Linked DNA regions of Danio rerio. The protein of the gene in region 1 binds, or shares a complex with, the protein of each later gene. Links are inferred from orthologs where the notes say so. Each region holds a gene or a part of one and is shown in the gene's direction. Other genes may lie near its edges.

The links.
Region 2: casc3 (region 1) and rbm8a share a complex: the UniProt entries of both Homo sapiens proteins name them as parts of the mRNA splicing-dependent exon junction complex. The link is inferred for Danio rerio from reciprocal best matches to the Homo sapiens genes CASC3 and RBM8A.

What each region holds. Positions count from the first base shown.
Region 1 is NC_133178.1:22,199,153-22,203,352, reverse strand, and holds the start of casc3 (protein CASC3), read left to right. Parts: upstream 1-1,344; 5' UTR 1,345-1,358; coding exon 1,359-1,544; intron 1,545-2,292; coding exon 2,293-2,317; intron 2,318-3,127; coding exon 3,128-3,183; intron 3,184-4,200. UniProt on the Homo sapiens protein: Required for pre-mRNA splicing as component of the spliceosome. Core component of the splicing-dependent multiprotein exon junction complex (EJC) deposited at splice junctions on mRNAs.
Region 2 is NC_133191.1:50,390,083-50,394,114, forward strand, and holds the start of rbm8a (RNA-binding protein 8A), read left to right. Parts: upstream 1-1,178; 5' UTR 1,179-1,199; coding exon 1,200-1,266; intron 1,267-1,716; coding exon 1,717-1,776; intron 1,777-2,001; coding exon 2,002-2,079; intron 2,080-4,032.

The sequences.
Region 1 (4,200 bases):
TGGTCGTCAGCGTTGCTGGAGAAAGCGAGGTGAGCGATAAGAACCACTCCTCACTGACAAAGCTCCACAATTCGTCCCATATATGAGCCTGTTAGTCCTATTTTGACCTATGCCATCATAAATAGTCAAAATAACCCATCGAAAAAAGCTTTAAGACCAAGCAGAATCCTCTGTTGGCTGTCGCTTCCAATAGTATTTGGATGCAGCCTTTATGATGCAAGCGATGTGAAGGACCAAAAAGTGGACCATATTAAAACTGATTTGAATACCAATTTGGCGATTGTTTTTATCCATGAATTTTCAAATGTACATTTTTTACAAGAGAGGCTTGAAAAAACTAAAAATTATATTTTATTTAGTTTATTAGGGGAAGATGTTAATATTCAATTTGTATTGAACAATTTTCTAATTTTGGAGAAATGTTATATTCATAAATACAAAAGCCTTAAAACAAAAGTTATACTGTAAATTTTTAAAGTTGGTAAAATCAAAACTAGGAAGAAGACTGTTTAGTTTATAATTTTTTTATTAAAAGAATTATTATTAATGTATTTGGTTTGCGTTTCTATTTTATGTTTACATTTTATTTGTTTGTATTATTTATTGCTTATTGATTTGATTATTATTTGTGTTCTGTTCTGTATTTGTAGATAAAAGTTGTTAATGGAATTTTGCCTTATTGTATTTGTGTTGGCAGCACAGTATTGCAGTGGGTAGCACAATCACCTAACAGCAAGAAGGTCGCTGGATCGAGCCTCAGCTGGGTCAGTTGGCATTTCTGTGGAGTTTGCATGTTTTTCCTATGTTTGCATGGGTTTCCTCTGGGTGCTCCGGTTTCCCCATAGTCCAAAGATACATTATAGGTAAATTGAATAAGCTAAATTGTCCGTATAGTGTATGAGTGTGTGAATGAGAGTGTATGGGTGTTTCCCAGTGATGGGTTGCAACTGGAAGGGCATCCGCTGCGTAAAACATATGCTAGATAAGTTGGCAGGTCATTCCGCTGTGGCAACCCCAGATTAATAAAGGGACTAAGCTGAAAAGTAAATGAATGAATGAATGTATTTGTGTAAAAAAGTACCATAACTGTTAACATGTAACGTTACTTACCTCAGAAAAGCAGAATAAATAAATATATATTGAACAATGAATGGGAAAAGGTGATGTGTATCATGTGACTTATTGAGAACTGCAGCTTTTAAATCCATAGTCGGATACAGAGCGACGAATGATTTCAGTGAAGTACCCAGTCGCTCGCGCGCCCTCCTCTGACGCGGCATAGAATTGGAGGATATGACGAACTCACGAGCCCCCACAATTCCCCGCGCAGATCCGCTTTCCCTTCCTTGAGAGTTAAGATGGCGGACCGGCGGCGACGGAGACGGCGCGCCTCTCAGGACAGCGAAGAGGAGGACGAGTCCGCCTCGGGTTCCGAGAGCGGGAGATCCTTCTCGGCTAGCCGGAAGACCCGCGGAAGAGAACCGGAGCCGGTGGAATCGCCAGCGGAGCGCGTCGCAGCCAAAAGCGACGATGAGTCGGAGTGTGTGAGTGTGTGACTATAAATCTGCTTTTATAATCAGGGGCGATCCGAGTCTGTGCGATGTGTTCTGTTCACACGGATTCAACTCGGAGTTCGTGTCGTTTAAGAACGGGTTAAGACGTAAAGCGAACGGAGACGGTTCATGTGATGCGATGTTTTTATATCTAGCTCTTGAGGAAAATGTTAGCAGGCGTTTATTCCTATCGGATATAACGTTGCAGTTCCTCATGGATCTGTGGTTCTCCTCGACAGTAAATATGAGGTTGACCTCATTTGACCTCAGATGTTTTGTTGACCATCTTCTAACGTGGTGATTCTTCATCCTGATCATTGAGGCCCCCTGTCCTGCAGTTTTTACATGTCTCCTTTTATTCTACACTCTTTATTTGGTTTATTTAGCTCAGTAGTATTTTATAGCACATAGAAGAGACTATTGTGTATGAAATGTGTGTTTTAGAAATAAAACTAGTGAAATGAATGTCTAGTGTCATTTGTAAGACCTCTAGGAAGAGAAGAGAGACATATTGATCACTAAACAATAGTACTTGTATGAAAGTGGGTTAATTTGTAAGTGTTGTGGCAGAAAACGGCGGTTTAGCTGAAGTATGATGTGCAAGATGTTTCAGGGTAGGTTTTGATAAGCAAGTGGATGATGTGGGTTAGATCAATAATTCATAGGCATCATTTTTTCTTAAGAGTCCTTGCTTGTCAGAATATCTGATTCTGTCATTCTGATCTCTTTTACTGTTTAGGTAAGTGAAGATGGCGTTGGTGAAGGTGAGTTTATTTTAAATTCTTTTTCTCACTGTTTTTTTTTGTGAGCTTGTCTAAAATGATGTCAATTGTATCAGCCTTTTTAAAAGAACCCCCACATATACTATAGTCTAATGATTAATGAAATGCAACAGTTTTAGTGTGCATGTGAATGTTTAAAAAAAAAAAGAGATCTTGTTTATCATAGTGCCTTAAGATTTGTCACTGGTTCAAGTGCACACACATCACTGTAATTTATATAAGAGGACAGAATGGACCTCATTACAGTTAAGGAGAAAACAACATATTTTAGTTTTAATTTTAAAGCTTTAGTTGGTAAATTACCACAGGAGAAATGTTCTAATACTTACAGTACCAGATCAGCAGATATACTCTTACTTAAGATGCCATTTTTTACACAGAGTTAGGTCGATCTGCATTCTCCAAGTATGCCCCATATGTATGGAATGAGCTTCAAGATATACTATGTATTAAAATCCGTACTATCTATCGCTGTATTTAAAAATCATTTTGAAGACTGTCATTTTAGAACATGTTTAACGATTGATTATTGTGTGTGTGTTCATGTGTTGTGATATGTATTTAATATTATTTTTTGTTAGAACTTTTTCTTATGCTGCCTGTCTTGACCAAGATTTCCTGGTAGAAGAGATATTGTATCTCAATGGGACATTCCTGGTTAAACAATTAAATAAATAAATGTGATTTCATTCACTTGCTAACAGGCTAAGTTGTTATGAATTACTAGTTTCATGTTGTTTGAACCCAAAATTGTGCACAGATTTGCTAAAATGGCTGATTTTTGATCTTCAGCAGTGTTATCTGACTATGACAGCGCTGATCTGGAGGAGAATGGATCGCACACGGAGGTAAGTCTCTATGGCAACTCCATTTTGTGGTCTTGTTGCGAAATCAATCAGTTCTTTACAAGACAATGGTGTGATGAATCTGTATACGTCCAGACTGGGCTGTCAGACTGCTTGCTGGTGTGTAGAGAGAACAAAATGTCTCGCTTTGTGGCCGATCTGTTTTGCTCCGTCATTGGGAAAGTGCTGTAGTTTCTTTGTGGAAAATCTAAATGTGAGCATTTGATTGTGATTTAACCATTTCAGTTTGAAATTGATAATTCTGATAAACAGTATTAGAAAAGATGCACACTGAGAGAGATGTTTGGTAAGAGAGTTTAATGGGGTTTTTGTTGAAATCGTGTCAGGAGTATTTTTGCTCATCTCTTGTGGCGTCATGAGTACTGCCAATGCCGAGCCCCATGCTGTTAGTGCATCTGTAGTCCTCATCTAATTTTAGTAGACATGGCATGACACACAATCCACACTTTTTTGCTGCTTTTACCCTATGCAAGTAGCGTTTTGATGATTGCAGGTCTCATTTTTAGGTAATTTAGACATATTAGCGAGTGCTATGGTTCATTGGTTGTTGTTTCACACCACTGAATAAGGCTGTAGTTCTCTGCTTATCTGCTTCAGTCTTGGCTGCTGATGTTCCACTTTGTTTGGTGTCCTAGCAACCCTTTCTATACCATCTTTACCATTCGGACTGACGTTAAGCAGACTTTAATTTACTGCAGACAAGCATAGTCTGCTCTGAGTTTCGAAATGCAATGTCTAAACAAGATTTTTAAACCTGGAATAGTTTTTGTTTTTAAGCTGATTGCACAGAAATTTGTGTTGCATGAGGACTAAGGCTACACATTGCTGGAAAAATAGACAATGTTGTTGTTGAGTGTTATAATTAGGAATGCTCCGATAAGGATTTTTGCAGCTGATACTGAGTACAATTTCCTTGTCATGGGGATTGGCTGAAAGAGTACAAATTCTGATCCTTCAAGCTTTATAATGCCTAAAGCAACATTTACTCTCCAAGTATAA
Region 2 (4,032 bases), on another chromosome or scaffold:
TCAAAGTGATTTACATAAACAGAAATAAAAGAGACAAGCATAAGAAAAATAAAAACAAAAATAAAAATGATTTTAAAAAAGGTTATAAAAGAATGAAAAAGAAGAGAACAACAATAGTACGATCTGTCGGACGGAGCACAGTGCTCATTCAGTAGGGGCACAGCTAAACAGATGTGTTTTCAGTCTTGATTTAAGTGTGCCTAATGGTGGAGCACATCTGATCATTTCTGGAAGCTGATTCCGGTATGGAAATAGGACCAGCAGCAATCGCAAAGGCCTACATAGGATTGTGCGAACTGCTGGATGCATAGTAGGAGGTGAGCTTTCCTCCCTCCATGGACATCTACACCAGGCGATGCATGAAGAAAGCAAAGAGAATCATCAGCGACTCCAGCCACCCAAGCCATGGACTTTTCTCTCTGCTACCCTCAGGCAGACGGTTCCGCAGCATCCAGTCACGCACTAGCCGGCTTAAGGAAAGTTTCTTCAGGCTGATGAACACTTAACACATCCCACAGAGGGGAAGTATGGGGAGTATGCTGTTGTATTTTGCACAGTTGTATTTGTACTGTCTGTATTTTGCACTTTCGTTGTATTTTGCACTATCTGTATTTTGTACTGTCTGGAGCCAGCACCTAAGCTTTTCACTCATCATAGCACACGTGGTGCTGATGATTTGACTATAAAAGTGATTTGATTTGATTTGATTTGATGTGATTTGATTTGATTCCAGAAGCGGGGGGCATAGTAGCTGAAAAAGCTGATTCACCCTGCTTTGTCTGAACTATTGAAATTTCTAGTTTATTTGAACCTTGAACATGTGTATATTTAATTATTTGATTTTTTTTTACTTTGTTTTACCAATTGAGTCTATGTAGTTATATAAACCTCTGTTATGCTCTGCATCTTTTTATGTACACCTCTACACTGCCAAACCCAAAAAGTTAATGTAACTCAAACTATTTGAGGAAACCGATTGCAACAAACTATTCTGTTTTACAGTCTAGAATTGTTCTGCATATATCGTTAACAATAAATGTATTTTTTTAAGTAAACAAAAAACAGTATTCTCCTTTTACACCTCCAAAACAGCAGACGGCGAGGTTTTCGACCAGCATTTGAATGTGACGCAGTGTCGTATAGAGTGTTCTGCGCATGCTCACAGCCGCTCACTCGCTTCTCACTCACAAGCAAGCATCATGGCGGACGTACTGGATCTTCATGAAGCGGGAGGCGAAGACTTTCCTATGGACGAGGATGGCGATGGTACAGTTTTTATGTACACTTACTTGTTGCATAGATCTTTATTTATGTGATTATATGTTTTATCAGAATATTACTAGTGGTGAATGTGTGCAATACTCGTGTTTTCTTCTGACGGCCTTGTCTTCTTAGCGCGCATGCTAATAGTTAGCTGATTCAAACCAGTCGCGCGTTGTAGTGATTCAGCTTTGTTTTTGTTTTCTGGCCTTAGAATAATGTATTTGACGGCCAATCTTCGTTTTAAGACTACTAATAATACAGATTTAGATTCAAAACTTATGGAAAATTAGTACTATGTTGTAGTCGCGTTTAAAGAATGTTCTCTTCACTTTTTATTCAGTCATTTATCATTTCTGTAAAAGTTTTCTTTTTTAAAATGTAACGTTACATACAGTGTGTTTGTTAACAGGTTAGCATGACCCTTATGAATGATTGTTTTTCTTTGTCTTTCAGAGAGCATTCATAAGTTAAAAGAGAAAGCCAAGAAGAGGAAAGGTCGTGGATTTGGATCTGGTAAGTTTTGTGTGTGTGTGTGTGTGTGTGTGTGTGTGTGTGTGTGTGTGTGTGTGTGTGTGTGTGTGTGTGTGTGTGTGTGTGTGTGTGTGTGTGTGTGTGTGTGTGTGTGTGTGTGTGTGCGTGCGTGTGTGCGTGCGTGTGTGTGTGTGTGTGTGCGTGCGCGCGCGTTTAAATGATCGTCTTAATGCATCATGTGCTTATGTTTGCTGCTTTATTTCTCAGAGGAAGGAGCCAGATCTAGAGTCAGAGAGGACTATGACACAGTAGAACAGGATGGAGATGAGCCTGGACCACAGAGATGTAAGTGTAACTCTAATTTCATTTCAGAGGTTGCATATTTTATTATTATTATTATTAAATTGAGAATATACAATCAGAGTAAATTATAAAGAGAATCGAGAAGAAAAAAATACAAAAAAAAAAGCCTTTGACTAGTTTCAAGTAATACTGCACTAAGCAAAATATTTTTAAAAAGGTATTGGTTTTGAAAATTTACATTTATATAAATAAAATTTTCATAATAAGATAAAAAGATTAAGATTTTTTTTTCCATGTAAAGTTTCTTTTTTTTATAATTAGCCAAACCAAACATTTTCCCATAGTAAGGAATCTTACTAAGAGAGTATTCACTGGATATGTACAATGAATAATTCTAGATGAAACTTCCTTTATCTTATTTTTCAAGTAGCTATTTAGAATGAGTCATATTTTTTCAAGTCAATGTCAGAAACAAAGGAATTCCAATAAAAAGTAACATTTTGAACTCATGGGCTGCATCCTCTGAAGGATGTATTCAAAGGGTGCTGCGTCTTACTAAAAAGTGATTTTATAGACCAGTGGTCACCAAACTTGTTTCTGGAGGGCCGGTGTCCTGTTGATTTTAGCTCCAACCCTAATCAAACACCTGAACAAGCTAATCAAGGTCTTACTTGGTATACTTGAATCATCCAGGCAGATGTGTTGAGGCAAGTTGGAGCTAAACCCTGCAGGGACACCGGCCCTCCAGGACTGAGATTGGTGACCCCTGTTATAGACAGTTTACATTTTTAAGTCTACATGTTTGGATTTAAGGAATTAGACTCCCAGCTTTTGTAAACCTTGCTTTGCCTTCAGATTGCTTAAAATATGTTTTTAAATCAATAAAAAAAAAGTCATTTCAAATTTTATTATAAATTCTAGGTGATGAGATCTGTCCTTTGTAGGCTAGATCATCTCAGTTCAGAATGCTCTGTTTGGCCTGTGAGGACTCACCTTTGAAGTCTGCATCCAAATGACACACAGCATATGTATAATCTACTTGGGCTTGTTATTAGTTAAAATGATGTCAAAATAAATACTTTATTGTCTTGCCTCATGCTTTATATTCAGGGTTCCCACTCTTCTTGAATTTCAGACATACAAATTCAAGGACTGGAAAATTCTTCAAAACTAACACTAATCCTTGGAAGTGCTTGAATTAAATTAGTCTATGGGGTCATTTCAGCAGTTGTGCTGCTGTCAAATATAGAATGAAAAAGCAATGAGAATTTGCTAAATATTTAAGAGATAAGCATTTCAGAATAGGGATACTCTTATTAATCGTTAACCGAAAGGGTGTGTTTTTAACTGATAAACAATATTGCATGTATTTAAAAAGTTTGGCTGCATAAGGAGTCAATCACAGCAAACACGCTTTTTGTGTTAAGAGCGGCATCTTTTGAATGGTTTTCTAATGGGCCTTGAGCGTTTTGCGGAGCCTTGCACGCCTCACATTTTAGCTGTTGTGTGCTGTGTACTCGCTGTTGAAAAAGGTCAACTCTGAGCAGAAAAGGCATGTTATGTCAGTTTCGTGTTTTTTTTTTTTTTTCCCAATCAAATAAAAGCAGAGTTTCAGTTGTCGAGTTCCGATGCATATTTTCTGTGGAGCGATCTATTTTAGGTAGCCTGCTATTTTTATTTAACGGAAGAAAAAACGTGATTGGACAAACAACATCTGCCGGTTCTTAAAAAGGATTCAGTCAGTGTTTTCATTTTGTATTCTAAACTTGTCATTTAAGTGAAAGATATCTAGGGCAGGAATATTTTTTGATTCTTTTTATTTAGTTTATTCTGTTTTTCCTAGCCGTTGGAAATGCTGCAGGTGCTTGAAGATGTGCTGATGTTCTGTATGCTGTTGTTCACATGTTAAAATAAATTAGTATTTTAAAATGCTATATTTAATGTGTCGGACACAAAATAGACACATCATTTTTTTGATTACATAGTTTAATATTA